Canis lupus familiaris: one gene and its partners. The protein of the gene in region 1 interacts with the protein of each later gene in a biochemical or structural test. Links are inferred from orthologs where the notes say so. Each region holds a gene or a part of one and is shown on either strand. Other genes may lie near its edges. The genes, in order: TRIM28, PCNA, IRF1, FBP1, CBX1, SIRT1 and CBX5.

Region 1 (4,461 bases):
ACAGGCCTGTAAACCTAAATCTTTCCTCTCAAAATCTTCAGCCCAAACCTGACCCAGAAAAATCACTCCTCCTTCTAGCTACTGATATTGACAACAAAATCTGAAGACTTTGGCAGAGACCTTCCTCTTACTATTCCCTCTACTAGAACCTTCCCAAATGGATACTCAGGAGAGCTCTTCCATCTTGAAAAGCACCACTGGCTCCACTCCTCCACTCGCAGTAGGTTCTGTCCAGCAGAGGAAGGCACTCTGGCTACTGTGCCATCCAAGCATATAAAATGTTTGCTTGCTGGTGTAGACAAAAACAAATCAGAAACTAGAGACACTATTCAAGCACAGCTTCCTTAGAAGCCATACTTTGGTGATCTACCCTCTCGAGTAAAAAAAAAAAAATGCACAAACCACTTATATAACCCATAGACCTACAAAGGATCCAGGCCTTACAAAGCCTTCTCAGAAGAGGTGAAATGTCAGACCACAACCCTCACAAAGATGTCAGAACCCCTCTTCTGAGGGGAGAGTCCTGGTACTTTGAGTAATACCACCTAAAGACCAATATACTACCTCACCCCCAACCTGTCACCATCATTAAAAAGCTGCTTGAGACAATCTATCCCTCTTTCCTACCCAATCCCATTTACAACCTGGCTGTATCATCCCAGCCCAAAACACACGACTTTGAGATACAAATCAGCCAGACCATGGATCCTCTAATACTGCCGCCTCCTGTACTCTGCCCTTTGCCTTAAGCCAGGACCTCCTACAAATCCCTGCTCTTCGCTCCTGGCTCCTGATTCCTCGTGCCCCCACAACCACCATCTCCATTATTATTTTCCTGCCAATGCTCTGCTCTAGGACTGAGAAGCCACAATGTAACTACCAAAAGGCGACCCAGAGTGTTCTGGAACAAAAAAACAGGATAAACTCAGAAAGATCCCAAGCCCTTTTCTTTGCCACTACCAGCGTCTACAGGAGTCTCTTAATACCTACCTGAGTGAAACACTCTCTAAATACCTACCTGAGCTGAACATGTATAACCCAAAGTTCTAAGACTCTCCATAATGCTATTCAGGGCCTGTGCAACTTAAACACAGTGGCTCAGAGGTCTCATTTCCCCCTACAGAACCATAACAAGTTGCCAGGGAACCCCAGTCCAGCCCCTCCACTACTGGGGCTTATCCCCTGTGTGCTGCGGGGGGGAGGGGCCTGATGAGCTTGCCTGAATCCTCAGTGCACCCCCTCACACTTCTGTGGTCATTTCCCTCCCACTGGACCCACACACCTGAGCCCCATTTTTTAATTCTGCCCTCAGACCCTTCCAGAGGTACCCTGATAAAGCTCCCTGGGACCCATCCATCATCAGTAACCAGCACCATAAACAGTTGAGAACATATGCAAGATAACCAAGGCTTTCTGCTCTGCCTTGCATACCAGTGGAGCGTACGGTGTGGTCCTTGGTGTACTTCACCCGCTGGTGTGCTTCCACACACGTCTCACACAGTGGCTCAGAGCACTCCACACAGTAGCTGGTGGCAGGGGCATTATCCTCACAGCTAGTGCAGCACTAATGGGCAAAAGCAGAGTGAGAAGAGGCAAAAACGCCAAATAGATCCACGTCTACACCCCAGATAACACAACCTAAGCAAAGTGTTGCCTTCACCTAACCTATACAGTCTGCCGAAACACTGGTAGTATGAGAAGAATAAAGTCTGGAACTGATTACATGTATTGAGGCCTCCTAGGGGTTGCTAGGGCAGGACATACCTGATTTGCATCCTGGGAGTCTGTGGCAGCCTTGCTGCCACTGTCACGCATAAAGTAATTCTCCACAATGTCTTTGGAGAAGCATTGCTGTTTGCATACAGGACAGTCGACCACTGCCAAAAACAAACAAAATAATGAGATTATGAGCTCACAGCCAAGTCGTAACCCATCCCCCCAATGAGCCCAACCTTCATCCCAAAGAAGGCCAAATCCTCTCATTAGGAAGCAGAAACCAAACCCTTCTTTCATCGAACTTGCAGCATATGAGCTCACGCCCAGGACAGAACCCACTGCCCATACTCAACCTGACCAACTACTATCCGCGTCCCTATCCTCTCGCTCAGGCGATCCCCCGCCATCGTCACGCTGGGAACAGACCCCCCAATCCCGACGCCGAGTGGGTATCAAAGCCTGTGGGGTGGGGGGATGGGCTGCCCCGGCCCGACCGTACTCACCGGCGCCGTCACCCGCTGCACCGCCATCCCCCGAGCTGTTGGCGGCGGCGGGCGCCGGGGGCCCGAGGCAGGCACTGCAAGCCGAATGCAGGCAGGGCAGCAAGCGCGGCTCCCTCTCGGGGCGCAGGCGCTCCCGGCACACACCGCAGTGCTCCAGCAGCTCCAGCGCCTCGCCGCCGCCCCCCGCGGGCGACGACGCCGAGGCCGAAGCCGAGGCCGAGGCCGCGGCCGACGAGGCGGCGGCGCGCTTTTCGCCGCCAGCCGAGCCCTCGCCCGGGCCCGGGCTGCCCGAGGCGGCTGCCGCCGCCGCCGCGGAGGCCGCCGCCGCAGAGGCCGCCATTCACACGCCGCCGGGGGCGCCCAGGGGGGAGGAGGGGCGCGGGGCCCGCCGCGCAGGCGCAGACGCACTCGCCGCCAACGGCTGGGCCGCTGCCGCCGCGAGGCCGAGCGCCGCCACGCGCCTCCTGGGCTACTGCCCGCTGCGCGCGGGGCGCTGTCGAAGCCCGGCCGGCAGCCGCCCGCTAGCCTCCCGCCGACGACGACCGCGATCCCTCTTTAGAGGCCGCCCAGACACCGCGCCACACGCCACGCGAACAACCGCTCACCCGCGCGCCCGCTCGCAGAAAGAGCCGCGGCCGGGGGGCGGGACAGAAATAACTGGCGCCGACGCCGCCGCGCAAGCGCGCTGGGCGTCTTGCGCCCGGGGGCGGGGCCCGGGCTGGCCGCCCCGAGCAGGGATGCGAATACGCAAGCGCCGGAGCCGGGTCTTCCCACCTCCGCCTCCACCACCTCGGCGCCGCCTGTGCGGCAGGGGCGGAACTATTGATATCACCGCCGCAACATTGTGCCCGGGCGGGGCGCGCGCACCTTTGCATGCGCTTGCTCCCCCTCTAGTCCCAGCCCCTGACCGCGGTTCTGCGCAGGCGATTTGGCAGTCCAGGCCGCCACCTCAATCCCCGCCCCTTAGGCCAAGGCCAAAGAAGTCTCCAGTCTTGGCGTCTGCCAGTGCTGGGGAGAAAGGCTGCGTTCAGAGAGAGAGGCCGAGAGTCCCCTTCCCACTTCTAAGCCAAGTGGTTGACTTTTGGGTTTTAATCGCTTTATTGTTTAGCTTGCAAGCACTAAAACCTGCCTAAAGCAAACAGATTCCAAGGGGCTACAGAGCAGCGAGTCCTGTGAAATCCCGCCTGGCCCCCCAAGCGCCCCCTTCCCATCTTCTAGGCAACCGCTGCGCTGACTTGGATGCTTTTCCAGGTGGGCGAACCGAATGAACAGCAACAGTGGAGGAATTCTAAGGAAGGAAGCAGGGTCTGTGTAGGGAAAACCCTATCAGAGGGAGGAAGCAAGATCCTAAGAGAATGAGGCAGCATCTATGCGGGGGCCTGGGGGTGGAGGGGCAGAGGAGTTTCTGTCTGGGGGAGGAAGCAGAATGTCTGGGGATAATTCTGTCAGATGGGGAGAATGAGGCCTGTGAGGGGTGGAAGGAACCCTGTTTGAGAGAACCATGGCCTTTTTGTGGGAATCCTGTCTGAGGAGGAAGCAGTCTGTGGCAAGAATCCTGGGTGCTAGGCAGGGTCGGGGGGGTGTTGGGGGGTGCGGGAAGGAGAGAAGCTGGGTCTGAGCTGGGAAGCAGGGCCTACGGTGGAGGCCGAAAGATCCTGTTTGATCCTGTTTGAGATGGAGCAGTCTGGGAGGGGATCGTGTTTGAGGCAAGAAGAAAGCTGAAGGGATGGATGCCTCGGAGCTGGTCCTTGGAGTGGCCCTTGAGCCCTTTTGCAGGGTTCCTGGTGCTGAGATCTCTATGCTCAGAACAAGGCTAAAGGGGGCGGGGAGGGGGCGGCGGTCAGCTTTTGAGAGGATGCAGAGAGCATGCTGGCTGGCAAGTCTGGCCCCAGGACCCTACTCCGCGACTCTGGGTTCAAACATAAAACCGTGGGCAGAGCAAGGCGCCCACGCGTGGTGGCAGTGGAGGCGCGTCTGGCCCTACTGGGCGGGGTGTGGCCTTTGTTCCCGGAGGGAGTTGGGGGGCTGTGGGGCTTTGTCTCGGTGCCTGCCTTTGTTCCAGCCTGGCCGCAGCCCCCAAATCCGGCCCCCGCCCCGCCCCTTAGCTGAGCTATTACGAGCCTCTGCCCCCTACCCACCCACCGGGTCCGCGGGGCCACGCCCCCATTGAGTGGCCCGCCCCCTCCATGCTGCTACCCCAAGGCTCTGGCCTCAGATCTTTGCTGCCTTTCTCTCAGAATTG
Region 2 (4,084 bases), on another chromosome or scaffold:
CGCAGGAAATTACAACAGCATCTCCGATGTGACTCAGATCTCGGCATATACGTGCAAATTCTCCAGAAGGCATCTTTACCACACAGCTATATTCTTGTTCCTGTTAAAATGAAAAATTAGAGTTCACTTGCTGGAAACTAAATTTGGCATTCTCATTTTTCTGAAGCCTCAGCATTTAGACAAGAATTCAGAATTTAAGGTTTTCTGATTACTTTAAAATATCACTCATTGTGTATTTCCATAACATAATCTCTAACTCAAAAAATAAATGCAGATATAAAACAAGTATGGGGATCCCTGGGTGGCGCAGCAGTTTGGCGCCTGCCTTTGGCCCAGGGCGCGATCCTGGAGACCCGGGATCGAATCCCACATCAGGCTCCCGGTGCATGGAGCCTGCTTCTCCCTCTGCCTGTGTCTCTGCCTCTCTCTCTCTCTCTCTCTCTCTCTCTCTGTGACTATCATAAATAAATAAAAATTAAAAAAAAATTTTTAAAACAATATGTCATAAGAATAATCATACTAAGAAAACTAAAATTAAAGTTTAAATCTTTAATGATAAATGCACTATCCAGGAGAAAAGAGCCTCCCCCTAAATCCCCCTCCAGGGCTAAATCAAGAGGACATTAGGGTATGGCCTACAAATGATGATGCGTGTGCAAGCAGGCCCAACTGCTTACCAAAACAAAACAAGAAGATAAGATAGTAAGGATTTTAAACATCTCAACATTTCTTATGTTGATAAACCTCACCTGAATGAATTTCTGCTAACACAGCTTTATTTTTATTTTTAAGATTTTATTTATTTATTCATGAAAGACACAGAGACAGAGAGAGAGGCAGAGACACAAGAAGAGGGAGAAGCAAGCTCCATGCAGGGAGCCTCAATCCTGGGACTCCAGGATTATGCCCCTGGCGGAAGGCAGGTGCCAAACCGCTGAGCCACCCAGGGATCCCCTAACACTGCTTTAAAGTCTACTCTTAATACTCACTGGAATTCCAAGTTGTTCAACATCTAAATCCATTAACTTCATTTCATAGTCTGAAACTTTTTCTTGATCTACCAAAAGAAAGCAGATTGAAGAAAAGTATGTAAGTTTATAACTATGCCATTAATAAGCTTTACAATCATTAGGAACATTTTCTTAAGTTTTTCACAACTAAGAGAAATCTTTTACACTGCATTTAAATTTCCTCTAATATAATTTAGTAGAAGAGTATCACCTACTTGGAGCTTCAAATACTAGTGCCAAGGTGTCCGCATTATCTTCAGCCCTTAGTGTAATGATGTCTTCATTGCCAGCACATTTTAGTATTTTGGACATGCTAGAACACGGAAGACACAGGATTTAAAATTGCCACAACGTTCTCAGAATCGTTAAGATTTCTGACCCAATTAAAACAAGGAGTTACCATCTTTATTTACCAAGGTCGTCTGAGGAATTGGTGAGTGAGGTAAACTAATCCGGCCATTTTGTAACCCAATTTGGCAGTATTTATTCTTAAACAGGCACACAGCCTACCATGAGCAATTTCACTTCTAGATACAAATAAAAGAGCAGCATTTCACGCATTGCAAATTGCAAATCCCTTTGGTGCGCGAAGCAAATTATTGGGTCCTGACGGTCAAGAAAAATGAGCTAAGATACTTATTAATACACACTGCATGCAGTCGAGGTCAACTATTTCTCATAAGCCTCATATTTGAACATGTTTTTGGAAGGCGGGGTGGCTCAGTGGTTGAGCGCCTGCCTTTGGCTCACGTCGTGATCCCGGGGTCCTGGGATGGAGTCCCACATAGAGCTCCCTATGTGGAGCCTGAGGGAGCCTGCTTCTCCCTCTGCCTGCGTCTCTCACGAATAAATAAAATCTTTAAACATGTTCATGTACTAGACATGTAGTGATCAAAGAGTTGAAAGCCACTGCCCTGGAGAAATTTTAAGTCCAGGAACTTAGGGTGCTCACTGCAACTTCCTAATAATAAAGGACCAGAATCAACCGATGGTCCCTAGGTAGGGTGACGTAACTCGGGCACATTATAAAGCGGTTAAAGGCAGTCAAGCCAAAGGGTTCTCATCCAAGGCCGCCGGCACTTAGTGGCCAAGGTGCTGTGTAAGTCTTTTCCCGGCACCACGAAGAAGCCCGTCATTTTCCCGCCACCACCCGCTTTGTGACTTTGGCGCGGAAAACGCCGGTTCGCGCGGCTGCCAGCGCGGGCTTTCGGAACCGCGCGCTCCGCTAGATCCCGCCCCTGGGCGCCGCAGGCCAATGAGAAGGCGCGGGTCGCCCACGCCAGCCAATGAGGACCTAGCTCGCAGGCGCTCCCGCCAAGAGCCGGAGGTGGGGGTGCGAGAGAGCCCGGCCCTTGGCGACCCCAGGGGCTCACCTGGTGAGGTTCACACCCATGGCCAAGTTGCGGTCGCAGCGGTACGTGTCGAAGCCCTCGGAGCGCAGAGTGAGCTGCACCAGGGAGACGTGGGAGGAGTCCATGCTCTGCAGGTTTACGCCGCTCGAGCTGATGTCCCAGCAGGCCTCGTTGATGAGATCCTTAAGCGCCTCCAGCACCTTCTTCAGGATGGAGCCCTGGACCAGGCGCGCCTCGAACATGGTGGCAGAGTCACAACGACACAGCTGCAGGCGGAGACGAAGAGGAAGTTGTAGCCGGCTTGGCGTCACGGGGTACGAGCGAGCTGGCGAACGCAGCGGCGAGGGCCGGGGAGCCGGGACGATCACCGCCCGCCCGCTCCGCCTGCAACCGTTTAATAGCGCCGCGTCTGCTGGCGCGCGCGCTCCGCCTCTGCGCCGCGCGTGGCGCGTCACCACGTTGCCCCGCCCACTCCCTGGCGGACGGACTCCGGGGCCAATAGTGTCCTTGGCCTCCGCTCCAGCCCGTCCTCCCTGAACGTCCACTGAAGGGTCGGCCGCAGGGGCGGGGCAGGGGCGGGGCAGGAGCGGGGCGCCTCCGCCTCCCGCGGGACTGCCTTCTCCACCCCGCTCGCGACGCCGGGCGCTGAACAAGTCTGGGCTTGTGACGGCCAGACCCAGGTTGGGGTTCTTTGAGTTACAGCCTTGTGCTGCCTCCTCAACCTCCCGCTTCAGGACTAGAAAGGCTTTGGCCGTGAAAGTGAAAGGCAAATCCAGCCCACCGGGAGGAAGACGCCTGGCGGCCCGAGGAATACAGCTGTTTTAAAAGTGCATTTTATTTTTGCTATCGTAGAAGTGATGTGTTGATAAATGTTGCTAAGCTGACCACTGAAAGATTGCAATCTACAATATTTTCCTAAATACAGATATCAGCAATCTTGTTTTAAAAATCTAAGCTTATTTGCGTGAAAATTCTGATCTGCATATTAAAAACTTGTTACAGGGGGCACGTGGGTGGTTCAGTCAGTGGAGCCTCTGCCTTTGGCTCAGGTCATGACCCCAGGGTCCTGAGATCTAGATCCAAGGTTGGCTCCTGGCTCCGGGAGGAGTCTGCTTCTACCTCTCCTTCTCCCTCTGCCCCTCCCCAATATGTTTTCTCTCTCAAATAAATAAGATTTTAAATATTTTATTTACTCATGAGAGATACAGAGAGGCAGAGACGTAGGTAGAGGGAGAAGCAGGTTCCCTGCACAGAGCCTGATGCAGGACTCAATCCCAGGACCCCGGGATCAGGCCCTGAGCCAAAGGCAGATGTTCAACCACTGAGCCACTCAGGTGTCCCCATTTGTAAATTTTTTTTTTTTTTTTTTTAAGATATTCGTGAGAGACACACAGAGACAGAGAGAGGCAGAGACACAGGCAGAGGGAGAAGCAGGCTCCATGCAGGGAGCCCGACGTGGGACTCGATCCCGGGACTCCAGGATCACACCCTGGGCTGAAGGCGGCGCTAAACCGCTGAGCCACCTAGGCGTCCCCTCCCCCCACCTTTTTTCCCCCACCCCCCCCCCTTTTTTTTTTTTTAAACAGGTTCTTTTTTTTAATTTTATTTATGTATTTATTTATTTATTTATGATAGGCACACAGTGAGAGAGAGAGAGGCAGAGACATAGGCAGAGGGAGAAGCAGGCTCCATGCAGGGAGCCCGACATGGGATTCGATCCCG
Region 3 (2,633 bases), on another chromosome or scaffold:
AAGTGCACATCAGGTTTTAATAATCAGCTTTTGGGATCTGGGATCTGATGAGGGATTTTTTCCTTTTCTTTGTTTCTTTTCTTTTTTTCCTTAAAGCAAATTATTCTCCAGGGGTGTGTTGTTTTTTTTTTTTTTTTTTTTTTTTTTTGTCCTGCTTCAATCTTAAAAGCGAATATAAAACAGTTGTTGCAGTAGTTGTACCCAGGCTGTGTTTCATCAGCATAGAAAACTTGAGACGTAGGCATAGCTCCCTATCTCTAGCTTTTCTTTTCTTTTCTTGACTTGTGATGCTGTTACTTTATGCCACATTCCTGGTTGGTATGTCCTCACTCAGCTGAGGGGGAAAGTCTTAGGAGATTCTGTGCCAGAGGGGAGATGTAGGAGCATGAGTCCAGGGCAGATCCACAATTCGCAGGCCCCTGTCCTAACCACAGTCCACATTTGCATCCATCTGAGAACATGCAAATGACCAAGGGTACGATGCTGGTAGGGAAGGTTTGGCTCACTGAGGGCAAGACCAGAGGATGAATCTGCCCTGGAAGTAACCTGATGGTTCCTTATTCCTCTGTCACCAGCTCTTGGAGCAGACGGGGTGGCAGCCGACAAACGTGGATGGCAAGGGGTACCTGCTAAATGAACCTGGGACTCAGCCCCCCTCTCTCTATGGAGACTTCAGCTGCAAGGACGAACCAGAAGTTGACAGCCCTGGGGGTAAGAAGTCCCTGTAGCTGGAAGGTTTCTCCGAGAAGCGAGAAACTGGCAGGGGGTGGGTAGGAAAGGGCTGGGGGACTGGGCTAGGGAGCAGGAGAGGCAAAGCATCTTTCTTCAACTCTTCTTGGTACAGACAGCTTACAAACTGGCTGCTGCTCCCACGTACTCAGGTCTGCCTGAAGATGGAGGCAGGGTGCTTACTGCCATGTGGGGACAGTAGAGGCGGCTGTGTCTGTGGCCTACAGGGATAGGGCTGAGGGGCAGGAGGGGAACACACCTGTCTTTACCCTCCATCCTCATACAACCTTCTTCACATCTTCTAGGGTATGTTGGGCTGATCTCTTCAGATCTGAAGAACATGGACACCAGCTGGCTGGACAGCCTGTTGACTCCAGTCAGACTGCCCTCCATCCAGGCCATTCCTTGTGCACCATAGCTGGGCCCTGGCCCCTTTGACTCCCCTAGGTGTTGAGCAGGACCTGGCATCATGGTTGCCATGATGCAAAGAAACAGGATTCCTGTGGGCTCCTTGACATGGCAGAGAATGACTCCATTGCTGAGCAGGGATGGAACCTCCCTCCTTAGGACAGTGACCCTTTAGGTTCTGTTAGGCCAGGGTCTGGGCTCATCTTGTGGGGTAAAGCTGGCCCTGCCTCCTGGGAAGATGGGATTATGAGATTGATGTGTCAGATGGAACTCTCAGAGAGGAGTCAGCCTCCAGCTTTCCCCCTCAGCCCGACTGCCTTGAAAGGGTCTCGCTGTTGCTGAGGTGGCCCAAGGGAACAGACCAGTGACCTCAGAGAAGCACAGCACCAACCCCAGGGCTGGCTCTGCACTAAGAGACAATTGCACTAAGGGAATCCTGTTCCCAGAGACCCTCCCCCCCTTCCCAGCTGAGCCCTAGGGACTGTTCCAAAGCCAGTGAAATGTGAAGGAAACGGGGCCCTGCAGGACAGTGCTCCCTCAGCTGTAGAGGAGCTCCGCCCTGCTTGGGCTCAGGGGCTTGGGAAAGAACATGGCACTTTTTCTTGTGGACCTTGCCACTTTTCTGATCAGAGGTGTACACTAACGTCTCCCCCAAGCTCTCAGCCTTTACATTTATTTATGTTGTGCCTTGCCCTGCGCCCACCTGCCCCCTCAGGCAGGCCCTGGCAGCCCTCAGCAGGCCCTGGGAGGGAAGTGGGAGCGTCTTGGTGTGATTTTTAAAATTGGAAACGCCATCTAACCACTAAGTCATGTGTGACCACATATGTACATGTGTGTAAATATGTACATTTATCTTTTTATAAAAAGTTAATTGTTTATAAAGGGTGTGGCCTTTTATTTAGAGATAAACTGCAAGTGGTTTTTTTTCTTACAGAGACATTTTATTTTGATGGAGTCATTCTTGGCATCCTGCCTGAACTTGACTGGGGGGTGAGCAGTGACATGCATCTATTGCAGAAGCCTTCCAGTTATGTTCATAGAGAAGATGACAGGAAAAAGGGACAATCACAGTACAGGGACATGCTCATATAAATATAATCACTTGCCCTTAGATTTATAGCCAGGCTGTGAGTTGAACTGGGGCTCCAAGGTCTGGACAGTGTTAGGTTTTTCAGTTCTGAGTAATGTGTCCCATAAACTATATGTCCTGCTAAACTCAAATCCAAGGGTATTCAGATGCTACTTCAAAAAGTTAACAATTAGTACTGCATGGTCATGGACAGTTACAACAGACACCAGCCCAAAACAGGTTCCTGAGGCCTGTTGTGGTGGGCATTCCTTGTCCGGTTTTTGCAGTGATGAAAATGTCCTCTCCCTCTGTACTGTCCACTGTAGTAGGTAGTGGCGAAGTCACATGTACCAACTGAGCACTGGAAATGTGGCCAGTGTGATGGAGAAACTGGATTTTAGTATATGTGCTGCTGAAGTGAGCACAA
Region 4 (4,466 bases), about 27 Mb from region 1:
CTGTGTCACCTGTATTATCTTGTGAGGTGGCTGCAGTCATTAGCCCCAGTTTACAGATGAGTGAAATGTTCTTCAGTGAAGATTAGTAACTTGCACAGGCTTCTACCACTGTGAGGGGCAAGGCCAGGGCTGAGACCCCGGCCCTCTGGCTCTAGAGTACGCACTCAACCACCATGCTAAGTGGCCCACCTCTAAGGGCTTGCCTTGTAGGTGGTGGGCGGAAGGCATCAATAACAGAGCCGAGACAGGTCTGTGACATGTCTGCAGTGTTTCCTCTGTGTCAGTCCCCTTGGAACTGAGTGCTCTGCCAACATCATTTCATGGCATGCTCATGACTCCCATCTAGAACAGTCATCCCACTTTACAGACAAACTGGAAGTAGACAGATTGGGTAAAGGGCCAGAGAGGCCAGAGCTGGGAATGCAGCAGGCCTGTCTAACCCCAGTCCTGAGCTCTTCAGTGCTTACAGGGCTGCTTTCCAAAGGTTTACACTTCAGGGGGACTGGATTGAACTAGCTGACTTTCAGGGTCCTAGCTAATCTGGGATCCCCAGGGGCTAAATGTCTGACACAGAAAGGGACAAACTCAGCTGCTGCTGCTGTCATTACATTTCAGATATCATGTTTAAGGAAACATTACGCTTACCAGCCTTTTTTTTTCAGTGAGGGTTTCCTTCACTACTCTAGTTTTTAACACTGCACCCCAACATTCCCTGTCCCCATTTCCTATTTCATTTTTCTCTACTGCTCACATGGCTCATCTAACATACCAATCTATTGTTGGTTTATTATTTATTTTTCTCTGTTAAAATGTAAGGTCAAAGAAGGAGTTTTGTCTGTATTGCTCAGGCTCTGTCCCCAGGGCAGCAAAAGACAGTGCCTGGTGCATAGTAGGTGTTCAATAAATGTTGTTCATGAATCAGTGTTGTCTTAAGACAACAGTGTTCTGGCTACATAGAGATCAGAATGTGGTCTGCAGAGTGTCTGGTCTCAGTGTGGCCTTCAGGGGACATTTCCCTGTGTCTGTGACTGTTTTTTTCTGCCAAACGCAGATACTTGAAAACTATGGTTTCCAATAGTTCTGGAAAGAGAGGAATCCTGAAAAGAAGAGGCCTGAAGTGAAGGATCCAGCCACGGGCCTTCAGACCCGTGAGGGACAGGGAATCCGCTTCTCCCAGGTTGGTGAGAAGAGCCCTGCGGCAGGCCGAGCAGGTTTGGGGAGGGCGGGGAGCAGGGGGCAGGTGGAGGCTTGAGGGGGGTGCGGGGGCGGCGGCGGTAGAAGCCCACGCGGAGACCCCGGCGCCCGCCAGCCCCCCCTCCCCCCACCCCGCGCCCCGCCGGCGCTGCCCTCACCCGCAGGACTTCCGTCTTGCAGCCTGGAGGGAGGGAGGGAGGGGTCAGGGCTGCCCCTGGGCGCCGGCTGGGGTGGGGACTGAAGGAGGTCCTGCAGGTGGCCCTGGGTGCCACTCCGCAAGGCCGAGGCCGGAGGCAGCCGCCGCCCAGACGCGGGGGCGGAGGGGGCGGAGGACGGGCCCCTGTGGGGCGCGGCGGCCCGAGGACCACACCGGGGCACCGGCGGGTCACCGCGGGGTCGGCGTGGGCGGAGCCGCGCTCGGAGCGGGAGGAGGCCCGGGGGCGGTGGTTTCCGGGGGCGGGGGCGGCGACCCGCGCCTATAGGCTCCCCGGGCCCCGACCGCGGGATCCTGGCCCGGCCGGGGTAGGCTCCGAACCGCGCCGACACTCCGGGCCGAGCCGAGCCGAGCCGAGCCGCGTCCTCCGCCGCGTCCCGCCGCGCGCACCTGCCGCCCGCACCTGCCGCCCGCACCTGCCGCGCTCACCTGCCGCCCAGCGCGCCTCAGGCCGGCCTCAGCATGACCGACCAGGCGGCCTTCGACACGGATATCGTCACCCTGACCCGCTTCGTCATGGAGGAGGGCAGGAAGGCCCGCGGCACCGGAGAGATGACCCAGCTGCTCAACTCGCTCTGCACCGCCGTCAAAGCCATTTCCACGGCCGTGCGCAAGGCGGGCATTGCGCACCTGTGAGTCGGGCCTCCCAGCTATCGGGCCGCGCCCTGTCTGTCTGTCCTGTTGGGGGTCTGCTCGGCAGTCCCATGTGCGGGGCCCTGGGCCTCCTGCTGTCAGCCTGCCTGCATGTCTGGCAGGTGGGAGTCCGTCTCTCTCGCTCTTTTTCTCTTTCTCTTTCTCGGGCAGCCCCTCTCGCAAAGCTTGTTGGACTGCAACCAAGCCCTGGTCACCCCTCCCTTCGGCGGGACCTGGCTCACGGTTCACACCTGCCTCTATCCTGCAGCAGTCTCCCCTGGACTGAGCAGTCTGCCTGTGCACCCGCTCTCAGGCTCCTCCTGCTGAAACTGGCTGGCCAGGCTGAGCACCTGCCCAGCCCACCATACCCAACCCAGCTTCATACAGGAAAGTGCCTGCACGATGCTTCCTTTCCCTTTCTCTCCTTTGATCTTCTTCCCTCCCTTTGGAATTGGGGACCCAAGTCAGGTTTTTAATTTGGTATCTCCTTTTTTTTTTTTTAAGATTTTATTTATTTATTAATGAGAGACAGAGAGAGAGAGAGAGGCAGAGACACAGGCAGAGGGAGAAGCAGGCTCCATGCAGGGAGCCTGATGTGGGACGCTATCCTGGGTCTCCAGGATCACGCCCTGTGCTGAAGGTGGTGCTAAACCGCTGAGCCACCTGGGCTGCCTAATTTGGTGTCTCCTTTACCCTCAGTAAGTCACATTAGGAGTGAAGGAAGCCCCAGGCAGGCTGGGAGGAAGCATACATGTCCAGACCTCTCAGGAGCAGCTGTGCTTGTTGCAAAGGGCTGTAGTAGGTCTGGGGCCGGGCCTGAGATTCAGATTCTGCATTTCGAAGAAGTTCTGTGGCAGGTGGTGCAGATGCTGAGAGTCTGCAGATCACATTGTGTGTAACAAAGAAATCATGGGACTTGGGGATTCGTTGGGCACCTACTTATGAGGCCTTTTGTAAGTAACACAAATACCCTTTGGTTTATTCTGGTGTGCACATTTTTTTTTAAGATTTTATTATTTATTCATGAGAGACAGAGAGAGAGGCAGAGACACAGGCAGAGGGATAAGCAGTCTCCATGCAGGGAGCCCGATGTGGGACTTGATCCTGGGTCTCTAGGATCATGTCCTGGACTGAAGGACATGGCCCATAGGTAAATAGCAAACAAATGGCATCATCATTCAACAATATAGAATGAATATCCTTCACTGTCAGTATGTATAAATCCACCTCTTTCTTTGTAAATGTTGTGTAGTGTTCCAGGAGTAATTTAACTCTTTCTCTAGGTTTGGCCATTTCACAGGTCTTTGTTTCAAATAGTGTCATACCTATGGAACAGGAGTTGGTGCCTGGTTGACAGGGCATGGCCAGGAATCTGGACACTCCTGTACTCGTATGGGAAAATAAGAATTTGGCTATGTCATTATGACATATAGTCAGTCGGGCAGGCAGCAATAAGACAGGGTCTCAAGCCAGGCCTCCAAATCACACTCATTATTTGCTTTGATATCTTGGATAAAAAGGCCAGTGTGCCTGCAAATAACTTTTTCAGCTGAAGGCTTGCCCTAGAAGGGCACGTACCCAGAGGTACGTCAACAAGATGATGACAGATTTGCAAGAACCTCACAGGTCTGAGTTTATGGAGCTCAGACATGGTGTTTCATCAGGGACACATCAGGAGTTTAAGAGTTGAGCCTGGAGTATCCTCTCTCTCTCTCTCTCTCTCTCTCTCTCTCTCTCTCGACCAACAGTTGCTCTTGTCGCCAGTTTCATTGTGGTTAATAAGACATTTATAGAATGGTAGAATTTGGCTGTCCAACCCTTCTTTGTACAGCTGAGGGCCTTGAGGGCAGGGGAGAGGAGGTGAGTGGGCTTGTTGCCTGGGCTGGGACTCTTTATGCCATGTGTCTCTGATTTTATTTTTCAAGCCAGTTAAAGCTCAACCAACTCTAAATCTCACCTATTTATTTTATTATTTTTTAAACATTTTATTTATTTATTCATGAGAGACACACAAAGAGAGAGGCAGAGACACAGGCAGAGGGAGAAGCAGGCTCCATGCAGGGAGCCCGACATGCCCGACCATGTGGGACTGGATCCCAGGACTCCAGGATCATGCCCTGGGCCGAAGGGAGGTACTCAACTACTGAGCCACCCAGGCATCCCTCACCTATTTATTTTTGATGCAAATTAAGAATTGTACCTCAAGAAGCCATTGCCTTCTAGAAAACTTGTTCTTGAAGCCTTATTTCTGTGCTCTGGCTCTCCCCTACTCACTCCCCAGAGAGAAAGGATGCTAATCTATACAAGGGGCAACCAGCATTTTGTTCTCCCAGGAGAAGAGTCAGCAGACCATAAGTGGATCTCCAGTGGCTTAGGCTTTTGCTTTAGGCATGTAGAATTGACTTGCCTTTGTACATGCTTCCAA
Region 5 (4,525 bases), on another chromosome or scaffold:
ACAGAATTCCAGAATAAATTATTAACAGAGAGAGCTCTGAGTTGATTACAGATTAGCATAAACCAGTGGTGCTCTGCTACCTGAAAAGAAAAGGTGAACTTTGACTTCTGTAATTCAAGAATGGTGTAAAGCATCTGTGCAATGATTCCCTCTACTTGAAATACCCATATAAGGAGCCCAGAATTGGGACTCCTGGGTGGCTCAGTGGTTGGACATCTATCTGCCTTTGGCTCAGGGTGTGGTCCCAGGGTCCAGGGATCAGGATCGGTCAGCATCGGGCTCCCTGCCTGGAGCCTCCTTCTCCTTCTGCCTGTGTCTCTGCTTCTATGTCTCTCATGAATAAATAAATAAAATCTTTTTAAAAAGAGCCCAGAATTTACTAACAAACTATATGTGCTAGACCTGAAACTGTGTTCCTATGACGTAGGTTTAAGATAATTGTGACATTTAGCTGAGAGAAGACCTTGGGGGAACATAAGGGCTGAATTTCAATACTAGAAGGATATATGAAAGGGGAATTAGGTTTATAGAACACAACTGTGTGCAACCACACACCCAGAATTAGGAGGAAATGGTATTCAACATGGGAAAGCAGAATTCAGCTCACTATGAGGAATTAGGTATGGTAGCATTTCATGTGGGCAGAATTATGGTTTGGAAGTTAGAGATAACATCAGACTTCAGTTCTACCACCTTCTTGCTGAAGGTCATTGGTCACATTACACAACCTGAGTCTTTTCTGTAAAATGGAAATAGTAATTCCCACTTCCAGCATTGTTTAGGATTAAAAAACACTAATCAGGGCCTTAACAGGGGCGCCTGGGTGGCTCAGTCGGTTAGGCGTCTGCCTTCTGCTCAAGTCATGATCCTAGAGTCCTGAGACAGAGATGGCTCGGGGCTTCCTCCTCAGTAAGTTGTCTGCTTCTCCTTCTTCCTCTGCCACTCCCCCTGCTTGTGCATGTGATCTTTCTCTCTTTCTGAAATAAATATATATTTTTAAAGATTTTATTTTTATTTATTCATGAGGGACACACACACACAAAGAGAGAGGCAGAGACATAGGCGGAGGGAGAAGCAGGCTCCAGGCCGGGTCCCAATAAATATATACATTTTTAAATCAAGGCCTTAACAGGATTCCTAGTGCTGAGGTAAGCATTAATAGGAATAGTTAATATTGGGATCCCTGGGTGGCGCAGCGGTTTGGCGCCTGCCTTTGGCCCAGGGCGCGATCCTGGAGACCCGGGATCGAATCCCACGTCGGGCTCCCGGTGCATGGAGCCTGCTTCTCCCTCTGCCTGTGTCTCTGCCTCTCTCTCTCTCTCTCTCTGTGACTATCGTAAATAAATAAAAAAAAAAGGAATAGTTAATATTATTAGAACTAATTTTCTCATCGTTACAGTTATAAAAACAAAATAGGAGACTTTAGGAAGGAGTGAGTAGATGGACTTTTACTCTCCATGGACATTAAACCCAAATGTCTCAGGAAGAATTGTCCTCTTCTCTGTGCTCTCACGGCTCTTTTATTTGGTTGGGTTTCTTATACCACAATTCTCCAGAGCCCTGCACAGTGCCTGACTCAGCAAAACTGTTAACGTAAATACTCTGACGTGGAATACAGTAGACTGGGTTGGCTTTCTTCTTTACCTCTGATTAGGAGGCTATTTGAATATTCAAATAAGAAAGAAAAAAAGTCATGTTCTGGTAGTTCTATTTAGTTCCTGGTCAGATAGAAAAAAAAAGAAGAGTAAAGGAGAGAGAAAGAGAAACACTCACAAATCTGATGTGAAGAAAATGCTAATAACCTCCACTTTCCGTTAGGTAAGGAGATGAACATTTCATTAATGCATTTAATCATTTATTCAACAATTATTGCTTGACAACTGTATGCCAGGGACTATACTGGGCACTGGGTATAGAGTGGTAAACAACACGAGGCAAGATTTCTGCCTTTATGGAGTTTAGGGAACAGCACACACCAACTAAAGACAATAAAGTGGAGGAATGACATGAGACGGAATTTCCAGTATGAATAGGTTTGAGGACAGCGATATAGTTGAAATCAGAACTAAACCATTTGTCTCGAAGAATAACAAGAGGTGGTTTTCACCTCTTTCCATGTTTTGGGAGGTGGCTGGGTGAGGAGTGCTGGTGGGGATGAGCGGGCTCTGCACTAAAGCTCTCCACTTGGCACAGCCAACGAAAAAGGTAAGTTCGAAAAAGGTAAGATGCCACGATGACAACGACCAGGGGAACCTAACCTAGTCTAAGCGTCAGGCAAGCAAGACTCCCAAGGGGAAGTAGGAGCCTTACACAAATTTGAGGCAGAAATTGAGGATTACAGAGATTATTGGAAAGTCAACAAAACTCTGGTGAGACACCTATTCAGATTAAAAACTTTCGAGGATGTGAATTACTGCCCAGAAACGGTTGATTTTTCGGACCAAGCATCATGGGGGTCACTTGCGAAACCAGACGCTCTAATGCTCTAGGCTGCAGCATTCTAAACTACACTCGTTCCAGCGCTTGCAGTTTAAAAACTAAAACTCCCCGAACCCCTCGCCAACTCCGCGTGGTGGCGTAGGACGCGCGCAGCACTTCGGGTCTTGTAGTCTGGGAGGGACTCCGAATCCCATACGGCTGTGCGGAGGGTCGCCGCGCCTGCGCGGTGCGGGCGGCGGGCAGCGCCGAGTGCGAGGCTCTTTTGTTCGGCTGAGGGGAGGGCCGTTGGCTGGGGCCTGCGGTACGCCGCTTCAGTGAGGGGCTCGACTGCGGCCACCGGCTTGTTGCTTTTCTGGGCGCCACTCCCCCGGCCGGCCCGACGCGACGCGCCATTAGCGCGGCACCGATTCCTCTCGGGCTCTTGGGCGCTGCTCTGAGGTGAAGAGCCCGCTAGAGGCGGGGACGCGGGGGGGAGGCGCGCGGCGGCGGCGGCGGCGGCGGCGGCGGCAGCGGCGGGAGCCCTGGGTGAGGGGCCGCGCGGGCTTGCAGCGGAGGGTGGGAACGGGGAGCGCACCCGGTCCCGCGCCCTTCCCGCACGGGGCCCTCCGCCGGCTGCAGGGGGTCGGGCGCCGGGCGCGAAAAGGATGGAGAGGGCGGGGCGGGCGGCGTACTCTGAGCAGGAGATCGAGACGATTCGGGGTGGGCCGAGCCCTGGCGGGTCGCTCCTCGGGGCCTGGGTGGACCGAGACAATGCTACGTAGGTTGGGTGGGCTGCCGGATTGGGGGAAGACACTTGAGTACAGCGAGGAGGGGACAGGCTGGGCAGCCTTGATGTTTGGACACGGCGAGGGGAGGGCTGACGGCTGCGAGACCCTTGGCTTCGAATGCCACCTGAGAATTTGGGGTCCGGCCGGGGCTGCCAGCGGAATTGCCGCTCGCCGGGCTAAGGACAAGTAACTTCGAGGACATCTTCGAGGGGGCTGGGCAGTCCAAGGTGTGCTACTCGGGGAGGAGACCTGTTGGATAAACTGAAGAGGGGGCTAGGAGAGGAAGGGGCAGTTACGTGCCGAGTTGGATCTGGAGAGGGAGGAGCTGAGAGAGTAAGTAGGGCGGAGGCCCCGAGAGTGTTTCTGTGAGGAGTTGAAAGGGGAAAACCGGCCGCCTTTGATTCCTGATGGGTCCTCACACAGTGGGGAGGCTGTAAGAATAATGTGTGAAGAAAGGACAAAAAACCCAGATTTCTTCCCCCTTTCCAGGTTTTCTACTGCCTCAGCTCTTTTGATTCCTTCGGGGAGTTAAAAAAAAAAAAAAAATCCCAAGTGCAGCGCTTGCTTGGATTCACAGTTACATACGTTTTTATCTGGGATCGTCACTGGTCGCAAAAGACAGTGGTATTGTAGAAACGTGTAGATGGGTTCATACTTAAGGAATTAAGTTAGTGAGAGATATGTAAGATGATGTGGGAAATGGGGAGACAAAGAAGAAGAGTTAGTGAGATCGTGAGATTTGTTTCCTAGGCTCTTATGATTTTCTTGCTTTGCTTTGCTTTGCTTTGCTTTGCTTTGTCTTCTTTCTTTCTTTCTTTCTTTCTTTCTTTCTTTCTTTTTAAGCTAGCCTTTCTTTGTTGTTACAAAATTTGAATACGGGAATGAGCAGTACTTCTTCAAAGCTTCAGATGAAGGTTTTTCATGGATGGCCTTATATGCAGACTTGAATTGGTTTAACTCCATTGAGGTGGAGTTTACAAAAAGATCAGTGATACTGGAAAACTCTGGCCAGGGTTAAGATCGCCTCCTCAGTTGTATTAAGAATCGTGTTGGCAGTTTGGAATAGCTCTGAAAAGGTCCAAAGTTTGGAATGGAAACATGAATACAATTGGGAAATTAGTGCCTGTGTTCCTCCCTAGGTGCTTACAGGCATTTATATTGTAAGTGGTATGATTGAGTGGGAAACCCGTTGGAACTTGGAACTGGTCACACCTTAATAAAGCTTTAGCGGGGGTTCAGGATCTTCATTCATTTCCAGTTTTCCCTTTGGTGCTGTTATTCTTCTTTGGCTGCTGTAGCCTAAGTTTTTTCATTAAAGA
Region 6 (4,298 bases), on another chromosome or scaffold:
ATCCCACTGAAGATGTAGCTGATTTTTTCATCCACCTCTCATCGCCCCACTCTTCCTGCCTTTTTTTCCTTTAGATAGTTCTAATGCCACACTGCACAGGTGGTAGATGCCCTACCAAACATTGGCTCTAGATCTGCCATGTATTATTGGAGTCTTTAGTTAAGACTAGATGTAGAGTGACAGTGCTCTGGAATTTCAGGAAAGTGGAAAGTAGAAGGGCTTCTAGTATGCAAGGAACTTCATTCATTCATTCATTCATTCATTCATTCAGGGACTGGTATTTTTGAGCTACTCCTCACTTTACATCTATCTTCTAGCTTATCAGTATAGGTCTTACAACCCTACAAATGTTACCATTTTAAAGATGAGAACATTGCCTATAGAAAGGCTAAATTGCTCATGCTAGTAGGTGAGAATCTCAAATTCCAACGCAAAGTCCCAAGCGTAGACCCGCCAAGTCATCATGTTCATTCTGCTCTTTGCGAATGGCCCACTTGACCCGATGCGTTCAGAAGGAATTCAAGACACCTTTGCAGCCCAGGTGGTGCCAGAAAACAAACAGGCTGATCCCCGGCGCCCCAGGTCAGGGGTTTTCAGGGGGAACACATGCCTTTAAGGATGACAATTCACACCACCCTACAAGTGATGGGGCTGGGGGGGGGGCAGTCAGCTAGAGACAGGAGCAAGAAGTAGGAAGAGGAGCCAAGAGGAGCTGTCACATTGGTGTGAGGATGAGGAGTGAAGTCTTTTATCCTCCACTTAGGCTGGTGGACACGACTATCCAGCGTGCGAAGCTCGGCCTGGGCCAGCTTCATTCCTCATCGTTTCTCAGGAACTAAGTTTTAACCCTTTACCTTAAACCTGGAAAAGACTAAAGCAAGCGAGCCGTGCGCTTCAGACTTCAGCGGAAACTCGCAGGGGGAACCAAAAACTTGGGCCGGCCGGGCGACAGCGACGCGAGGCCGGTTTCGAAGAGCGGCCGGGAGCCGGGCGAGCGCGGCGGCCGGACGCGCCTGCCGCAGAGGGTGGGTGGGGCCGCGCTTCCTCCCAGCCCACGCCGCCTCCGCCCGCCACGTGACCCGCCGTGTTGTGGTCCGGCCCGCGTGGGTGGCGGGAGCGGCGGGAGGGCGGGAGGGCGGGGGCGACGGGGCCGGGTCACGTGACGGGGTTTAAATCTCCCGCAGCCGGAGCCGCGGGGGCGCCAGTGCCGCGAGTCGAGCGGGAGCAGAGGAGGCGAGGGAGGAGGGCCAGAGAGGCAGTTGGAAGATGGCGGACGAGGCGGCGCTCGCCCTTCAGCCCGGCGGCTCCCCCTCGGCGGTGGCGGCCGAGAGGGAGGCCGCGTCGCCGCCCGCCGGGGAGCCACTCCGCAAGAGGCCGCGGAGAGACTGTCCTGGCCTGGGGCGGAGCCCAGGCGAGCCCGGCGGGGCGGCCCCTGAGCGGGAGGTGCCGGCGGCGACCGGGGGCTGCTCCGCGGCGGCCGCGGCGCTGTGGCGGGAGGCGGCGGCGGGCGGGGAGCGGGAGGCCCAGGCGGCGGCGGCGGCGGCCGGAGAAGGAGACAATGGGCCGGGCCTACAGGGCCTCTCCCGCGAGCCGCCGCCGGCCGACGACTTCGACGACGACGACGACGACGACGAGGGCGAAGAGGAGGAAGAGGCGGCGGCGGCGGCGGCGATTGGGTACCGAGGTGCGCAGGGCGCGGGCGGCTGGGACTGCGCATCCCCTCCTCCCTCTCTGGGGCCCCTTGCGGTGTAGGGCTTTGGGGGCTCCGGGGGGCGGGCTGGGGGCTCAGGTCTGGCCTGCGGCGCCCCCTTCCCACCGCGGGCCTCGGCTGCGCTCCTCCCCGGCTGCCGGCGGGGCTGCGGGAGCGGCCCGCGCACCCCCTCCCTCCGCTCCCTTTTTCCCTCCCTCCGCCGCCCGCCTGCGCGGCTTTGCGCTTTGCGCAGCCGCCGGGCCGCGAAGCTCCCGCAGTTGGTTTTAAAGTAAGTTTCTCTCTCCTCCTACTCTCTTAGCTTATTGCCTTTGTTTAACATCTTTCGCTTTTCCGTATCCCCGCTTCCTTGCACACGTAAGTCTGCAACTTTTGCCCGTCCCTTTTCATCAACCTTTTGCAGTTGTCTTTGCAAACTGATACACCTGTGCAATTCACGGCTTTTTTTTTTTTTTTTGAGGGCCTTTATTTTTAAATTTTAAGGAGCAAAGCTATTTCTAAAGTCATAACCCACAAAATTTGAGAAGCATCGCTAAATTTCTGAAATGTTGCAATGAATGCGTATTGGGAGACTGATAGTACTTTAAGACTAGTAAAGTAGGCTTTTTTCTTTTCTTTTTTTAAAACATAAGATTGTATTTATTCATGAGAGAGAGAGAGGCAGAGACATAGAGGGAAAAGCAGGTTCTCTGCGGGGAGCATGATGGGATCCCAGGACCCCGGGATCACGACCTGAGCAGGTTCTCTGCGGGGAGCATAGGGGATCCCAGGACCCCGGGATCACGACCTGAGCCAAAGGTGGACTCTCCACCAACTGAGCCATCCAGGCGCCCCAATAGTACTTTTTTTTCCTAATTATATATACTTAGAATGTTTTTTAGATTAGATATAATTTTGCGTGTATGTGCGTATCTGATAACCCTGAAACACAAACTCATTTTTGTTGTTGTTGTTATGTTAAAGCAGATGTGTTAGTTGTGTATGTCATATCATCTTTGAGAGTTTTCATATTTTTCAGTCTGAGGAGTTTCTGTCGTGAATGTTCGTCTTTACCAGTAAATTCAATCTGGAGCATTTGATCATAGAAGTGCATTAAGTTCTTGATTAGTAAATCACTTATTGATTTCTGTAAACAGTTTAATATGGGAAACGAATAATGCAAATATATCTTTGGAAGTCTAGTATTATGTAAGAGAAGGGCAAATAATTGTCATGAATTTGAATGATTTCTGTTACATTTTTGACCAGTTTCATGAATTCCCATTACTTGTGATCAATAAGTTCAGTTTAGATTACCACTCTGTGTTTTGATTAAGTAAACCTAACTTATTCCTAGATTTTCATGAGCTGAAAGTTTTAAGATTCGGTGCAGAATGTGTAAAGATGTGCATATATGGCTCTTAGAATGGTGCAAGCTGACCCAGTAGGAAGTTTTTAACCTAGGTACTATGAATGAATGTTCAGTGGTTTATTCAGTGAAAGTCATTGCATCATAACTGTTACAGATTTGTATACATTTTATTTTATTTTATTTTATTTTTAAAGATCTTATTTATTCATGAGAGAGAGAGGCAGAGACACAGGCAGAGGGAGAAGCCGGCTCCTTGCAGGGAGCCCGACGTGTGGGACTCGATCCCGGGTCTCCAGGATCACGCCCTGGGCTGAAGGTGGCGCTAAACCGCTGAGCCACCCGGGGTACCCAGATCTGTATACATTTTAGAGGCAGATTGTTTCATCAGCCTTTAGTTACTTTGGTTTCTTTTGCAGATAACCTTCTGTTTGATGATGAAATAATCACCAACGGTTTTCATTCCTGTGAAAGTGATGAGGATGATAGAGCCTCACATGCAAGCTCTAGTGACTGGACTCCAAGGCCCCGGATAGGTACGGTTTCAGAGCTTTAGAGAATAATGTCTTTTTCTTTTTTGTATTTTTTTATGTCAATTAAAAATAGTTTTCTGTACCCTTATAACTTGATGAGGTTTTTAGGTGCTTCTTGAGATTTAGTGTCAGCTTGTGTTTCTACGGAAGGTCTAGTACTTTGTTCTTTTTGGTTTTAAACAGTTTAAGCCCCTGGAAGCTGGCCTCTGGTATTTCTCAATCAGGTCCTTCTCACACCACCAGTTCTTTTCACTTGTACCTCTCTGTGTGGAGTGCTTTTTCTCCAGCGTATCTTGCACTCTCTCAATTCAAGTCTGTTTTTTTTCTTTTCCTTAATACTTAATCACTTTTTTTTTAAGATTTTATTTCTTTATTCGTGAAAATACACAGGAGAGAGAGAGGCAGAGACACAGGCAGAAGGAGAAGCAGGCTTCATTCAGGGAGCCTGACATGGGACTCGATCCCGGGTCTCCAGGATCAGGCCCTGCCTGGGCTGTGCTAAACCGCTGAGCCACCCAGGCTGCCCCTTAATCACCTCTTAATAAGCTCTGTATCTTAAACATTTTTTATTTCCTGTACTAGAATGTAAGCCCCACAGGGGCAGGGATTTTTGACTGGTATACTGTTTTGTCAGTATTTAGAAAAGTGCCTGGCCCACAGTTTGTGCTCAATATTAAGTATGTTGTTGAAATGGGAAAGTGTTTTGAAG
Region 7 (4,336 bases), on another chromosome or scaffold:
AAGGAAAGAGGCTTAAAGCAGGTAAGAATCTAAGATGCATCTAATCCAAGGTCCACCATTCCATTATTTTAGGCAGTCAAACAAAAGATGCAAACAATCCTGTTACACTGCAAGAAATAATAAAAACTTAATGAAATTCTCCTTTCTATCCAATGGAACGATGAGCTCTCTATATCTGAAGAGATTACCATTAAGATTTAGCGATCCATTTATCAAAGGCTACTTCCTAAACACTTCATTCACCTTCTCCCACTAATTTCCAATTATTAAAATAAAATACTTTGACAAGATTATCAACTCTAGCATCTGTCATTTTATTTATTTTTGTAAATTTAAGTAATCTCTTCACCCAATGTAGGGCTCAAACATGACTCGAGAGCATCAAGAGTTGCATGCTCCTCTGCTGAGCCAGCCAGGTACCTCCAGCATGTCAACTTAAATCAACGTTGCTTTTTAAATTTTTTTATTAATAGTGAATTCTTTAGCTGCACTCCCAACGTGGAGCTTGAAGTCACCACCCTGAGACCAAGAGTCACATTCCTCAGACCCAGCCTGCCAGGCACCCCTAAATCAACAGTTTTCAACCGAGGAAGATTTTGCACCACCACCGCCACCATCACTACCACTGACATCCCCAGGACATCTGGCAATGTGTGGTGACATTTTGATAGTCACAAATGGGTGTGAGGGAGGAGGTGAAATGCATTTATTAGCTTAAAATGTCAATAGTGCTGTAAGAAATCCCGTAAGTCAAGACTATTTCTTTTGAACCTAAATAAATTAGGGAGAACTGTAATTTAGATCCCTTTAGTTCTTATAAACTCAGCAGAAGCAGCTGATTAGCACACCTACAGTTTATAAGGAAATACGAAATCAAGTTGTCCTCTTGCAAGTGTCAGAAAACACAAATCTCTCCAGTCTTCATTATATGGACAACTAAAATTAACTTTCCTTTGTATAATGTCACAAAGGTCTATAATCAGAAGTGTCCTTCATACACAGTTAAACGTATTACAGCATCTAAACATCTTTCTAATAACCTTATGCCATTGATCAAGAGGGCAATTTAGATTCTGATATAACCATTATGTAACGAAAACGTCTTTATTTTTACTAAAACATCTTCAAATCAGCTGAATGGGTGTTACCAACAGGTGATTACAGTGCCTGTAAAATAAACACTTTGAAGAAAATACAATGAAGGCAATGGAATAATCCAGGTGATGGAGGAGTCCTCCTACCCCTAACACCCTAAATATCATCCATGTTAAGCAATTTGTCAAAATTCAGACATCCTTAGAGGAATAGCAGAAAGAGTCTCGGAAACTTTTTAATGGATGGGACGCCTGGGTGGCTCAGTGGTGGAGCGTCTGCCTTGGGCTCAGGGCGGGACCCCGGGGTCCTGGGATCCAGTCCCGCATCCGGATCCCTGTGGGAGGTCTGCTTCTCCCTCTGCCTGTGTCTCTGCCTCTGTGTGTTTCAAGAATAAATAAAATCTTTAAAAAAGAAAAAAAAAAAAAAAGGAAAGAAACCTTTTAATGGTGTAAAGAAAGATACAAAAGTTCACAGAAGAGACTGAGGTAAAAAAAAAAAAAAAAAAGACTGAGGTAAAGGCGTGGAAACACAGATGATGCGTGTAAAGGGTTTACTTACTTAGCACAGCGTCTCCCTGGCAGGTACTAAGTACACAAAAGAAAGTCAAGTTTTTAAAATTGTGTTTTTATTCTGAGCATCACCGTGTTAGTTCCGCCGGCGCGCGGGGGGGCGGGGGGGGGGGGGGGAGGACAGCACTCTCTCGTGGTGTAGGGATGACACAGGGGGAGGGGAGGAGCAGGGGATCGTGCCTGGAAACACGAGGGCTGCCTTTCCCATCTTCACCGAGTCACAAACTGCGATCCCTGAAAGGACTTGAGCGGGAGGGACGCCACCTGCCCGGATCCCACCCGGGCCCTGGACACGGACGCACGGCGGGAGGCGGCCCTTCCCACACTTCTCCTGCGGGCTCACGAGCATCCGCCACCGGTCCGGGGAAGGCCGCGGCGTTCCGCGCACACGTGGGTCGGCGCCTGTCCGCGACGGCAGCGGCTCTTGTTCCGATGCGCGCGGACGCTGCCGGCCAAGCGGGTTCCCGACGACCGGCCGAGCTCCCCTGGGAGCCTCCACGCGCGGGGCGACCAGAAGCCCCGGGGTGCGTGTGCGCGTGCGCGTGCGCGAGCGCGTGGAGCGGTTATGCCGAAGCCGAAGCGACACGCCACAGAGTCAGGGTCTCCCTACCGGAAACGCGTGTGGGGTGAAGGCCCGAGCGCCGGGCGCCGGCGGCCACTGTGGAGAGAACGCGCGCCCCCGCGCCCCCGCGCCCTCCCGCCCGCTCCTCCACAGCCCGCAGCGAGGCCTCCCGCTTCCGCACCGCTGACTGGGCGACCCGCCCGGGCGCCGTCCGCAGGCCGCCCGCCGCCGGCTCCACAGCGGGGCCTCCCCCTCGGAGTCCGCCCGCCGCCTCCGAGGAGCCCAACCTACGGCGCGCTCGGCGCCCATTGGCTCGGCGGGACGCTGCTCAGGGCGCAGGGCCCGCCCCCACGTCCCGAGGGCCCGAGGGCCCGTCCGTCGGCGGCAAAGGCGGACCCGATTGGCCCGCGCGCAAGCCAGTCAGACTCCGGGCCGCGGAGCCCCACGGCACTCCCGGCCGGCAGACATCCCGCCCCCGCCGTCCATTGGTTGGCTGAACCCAGCGCTCCCCCTTTACGAGCCCCCACCCCGCGCTCCATTCATTTCACACAATAACGGGCCCAATTGGAGTCAGTTCAACACCTCGTATGAGTAGGCGAGACGATCCGCCGCTTACCCGGAATCGAGACCGGCCACTCGCGCCAACGCCTCCCCTGTTCCTCTGTGGCGAGGCCGGACCACGGGACGCCGCCGCCGCCGCCTTCTGCGCAACGCCAACCGCCCGCCAAAACGGATCCTTCCCTGCGCCTGCGCGGCCAATCCTGCGACCGGACCCTTTCTCCGCCCATTACGCCTGCGCAGAGCGGGGCGCGACTCCCGCCACGACGCAGGCGCCGTAGAGTCGCCGCCGTCTCCCGCCCGCCATTTCACGTGCTCCAAGCGCCGAGCGGAACTGGTTAGTGCGCCTGCGTAAACTCGCCATTTTACTACACATGCGCCCGGCGGGCGGTCGTTTGCAAAAAAAAAAAAAAAGAAAAAAAAATCACCTGATAACCTCGTTCGTAATATATTAGCATTTACCGTGCTTCGCCAACTGAGCGGAACATAATTTCGGGGCGGAATGGATTGAAAATTCATTTAAATACCTTAGGTTCGTTCAAATATGAATGACTGGTTGACGAGCCAATCACAGTAATTAGGAATAATATTACCCGGGAACCAATAGACCTGAAGGGGCGGAGCCTGCGTAGAACGCCCAAGCGGATGACGTTGCGCAGCAGTGCGGGGCTATAGACCAATAGCAGGGGGAGGCTATCGCAAACATCCAATCAGAGACGCTCAGGGGCGGAGTCTACCAATGCCTAAAGCGAGGAGGCGGGATAAAAAAGCGAGGCCGAAGGTAGGCTGGCAGATACGTTCGTTAGATTACTCCTTTCTGCCCCTGGACGCCGCCGAGTAAGCATCGTTAAAGTCTCCCCTCCCACCGCCGTCATGTCTAAGTCAGAGGTGAGTAACACGCTGTCTCCCGCCTAGTTTCCTTCCTCACTCCTTCCCTGGGGCCGGTAGGACGCGGCCTGGCGTGGCCGCTCGCGCCAGCCCGTTCGGCAGCCCTTCGGGGGCCGCCAGGGCCTTCCCCTCCCGAAGTTGAGGTCGCCATTTTGTCCTCGTCGTCGCCATGAGGCCGCCGTCCTGCAGCGCTTGGCTGTGGCGCCGGGCTGCGCCCTCCCGGCAGAACTCGCGGGCGCATTCGACGGGTTTTGTTTGATCGTGTCTCCGGGAGCGAGTTTCTTGCGGAGCAGCCGTAGTTCCCCGCCGCTTCGGCGTCCGTCCAGCCGAGTCCTTTTGTTGCGCGTGCGTCGGAGGGAGAGTCGGGGCGCATGCGCCCGCGGCCTCCCAGCCCCCACCGCTCGGTCCCCCCCGAGGGGAGAAGCACGTGGCCTCCCGTAACCCGAGGGAACAATACGTGCCTTGTAACGCTGCTGTCTAGGATTTTCCTCCCAACGGGACGGGGCTGGGCGTTGGGCGCGCCACGTAACGAGCTGTGTCCCCGCTCCTAGTCTCCCAAAGAGCCCGAGCAGCTGCGGAAACTCTTCATCGGAGGTTTGAGCTTCGAAACGACCGATGAGAGTCTGAGGAGCCATTTTGAGCAATGGGGGACGCTTACGGACTG

What was found.
Region 2: the proteins of TRIM28 (region 1) and PCNA form a complex in vitro, tested with the Homo sapiens proteins (2 studies listed by BioGRID, with this or other methods). The link is inferred for Canis lupus familiaris from reciprocal best matches to the Homo sapiens genes TRIM28 and PCNA.
Region 3: the proteins of TRIM28 (region 1) and IRF1 form a complex in vitro, tested with the Homo sapiens proteins (2 studies listed by BioGRID). The link is inferred for Canis lupus familiaris from reciprocal best matches to the Homo sapiens genes TRIM28 and IRF1.
Region 4: the proteins of TRIM28 (region 1) and FBP1 form a complex in vitro, tested with the Homo sapiens proteins (2 studies listed by BioGRID). The link is inferred for Canis lupus familiaris from reciprocal best matches to the Homo sapiens genes TRIM28 and FBP1.
Region 5: the proteins of TRIM28 (region 1) and CBX1 form a complex in vitro, tested with the Homo sapiens proteins (3 studies listed by BioGRID). The link is inferred for Canis lupus familiaris from reciprocal best matches to the Homo sapiens genes TRIM28 and CBX1.
Region 6: of the proteins of TRIM28 (region 1) and SIRT1, one has a biochemical effect on the other in vitro, tested with the Homo sapiens proteins (2 studies listed by BioGRID). The link is inferred for Canis lupus familiaris from reciprocal best matches to the Homo sapiens genes TRIM28 and SIRT1.
Region 7: the proteins of TRIM28 (region 1) and CBX5 form a complex in vitro, tested with the Homo sapiens proteins (6 studies listed by BioGRID, with this or other methods). The link is inferred for Canis lupus familiaris from reciprocal best matches to the Homo sapiens genes TRIM28 and CBX5.

Annotation. Positions count from the first base shown.
Region 1 is NC_049222.1:100,138,313-100,142,773, forward strand, and holds the start of TRIM28 (transcription intermediary factor 1-beta), read right to left. Parts: upstream 2,846-4,461; 5' UTR 2,560-2,845; coding exon 2,220-2,559; intron 1,878-2,219; coding exon 1,765-1,877; intron 1,565-1,764; coding exon 1,432-1,564; intron 1-1,431. UniProt on the Homo sapiens protein: Nuclear corepressor for KRAB domain-containing zinc finger proteins (KRAB-ZFPs).
Region 2 is NC_049245.1:16,928,612-16,932,695, reverse strand, and holds the start of PCNA (proliferating cell nuclear antigen), read right to left. Parts: upstream 2,801-4,084; 5' UTR 2,605-2,800; coding exon 2,384-2,604; intron 1,324-2,383; coding exon 1,226-1,323; intron 1,058-1,225; coding exon 990-1,057; intron 101-989; coding exon 1-100. UniProt on the Homo sapiens protein: Auxiliary protein of DNA polymerase delta and epsilon, is involved in the control of eukaryotic DNA replication by increasing the polymerase's processibility during elongation of the leading strand.
Region 3 is NC_049232.1:20,767,628-20,770,260, reverse strand, and holds the end of IRF1 (interferon regulatory factor 1), read left to right. Parts: intron 1-575; coding exon 576-711; intron 712-1,034; coding exon 1,035-1,147; 3' UTR 1,148-2,019; downstream 2,020-2,633. UniProt on the Homo sapiens protein: Transcriptional regulator which displays a remarkable functional diversity in the regulation of cellular responses.
Region 4 is NC_049222.1:72,684,667-72,689,132, forward strand, and holds the start of FBP1 (fructose-1,6-bisphosphatase 1), read left to right. Parts: upstream 1-1,631; 5' UTR 1,632-1,870; coding exon 1,871-2,040; intron 2,041-2,137; exon of another isoform or gene 2,138-2,152; coding exon of another isoform or gene 2,153-2,163; intron 2,164-4,466. UniProt on the Homo sapiens protein: Catalyzes the hydrolysis of fructose 1,6-bisphosphate to fructose 6-phosphate in the presence of divalent cations, acting as a rate-limiting enzyme in gluconeogenesis. Plays a role in regulating glucose sensing and insulin secretion of pancreatic beta-cells.
Region 5 is NC_049230.1:24,332,959-24,337,483, reverse strand, and holds the start of CBX1 (chromobox protein homolog 1), read left to right. Parts: upstream 1-1,713; 5' UTR 1,714-1,818; intron 1,819-2,649; exon of another isoform or gene 2,650-2,877; intron 2,878-2,890; exon of another isoform or gene 2,891-2,964; intron 2,965-4,525. UniProt on the Homo sapiens protein: Component of heterochromatin. Recognizes and binds histone H3 tails methylated at 'Lys-9', leading to epigenetic repression. Interaction with lamin B receptor (LBR) can contribute to the association of the heterochromatin with the inner nuclear membrane.
Region 6 is NC_049225.1:19,900,691-19,904,988, forward strand, and holds the start of SIRT1 (NAD-dependent protein deacetylase sirtuin-1), read left to right. Parts: upstream 1-1,248; 5' UTR 1,249-1,266; coding exon 1,267-1,684; intron 1,685-1,960; exon of another isoform or gene 1,961-1,979; intron 1,980-3,475; coding exon 3,476-3,592; intron 3,593-4,298. UniProt on the Homo sapiens protein: NAD-dependent protein deacetylase that links transcriptional regulation directly to intracellular energetics and participates in the coordination of several separated cellular functions such as cell cycle, response to DNA damage, metabolism, apoptosis and autophagy.
Region 7 is NC_049248.1:45,635,742-45,640,077, forward strand, and holds the start of CBX5 (chromobox protein homolog 5), read right to left. Parts: upstream 3,003-4,336; 5' UTR 2,843-3,002; intron 1-2,842. Other genes in the region: HNRNPA1 (heterogeneous nuclear ribonucleoprotein A1), read left to right, coding at 3,658-3,672, 4,224-4,336. UniProt on the Homo sapiens protein: Component of heterochromatin that recognizes and binds histone H3 tails methylated at 'Lys-9' (H3K9me), leading to epigenetic repression. In contrast, it is excluded from chromatin when 'Tyr-41' of histone H3 is phosphorylated (H3Y41ph).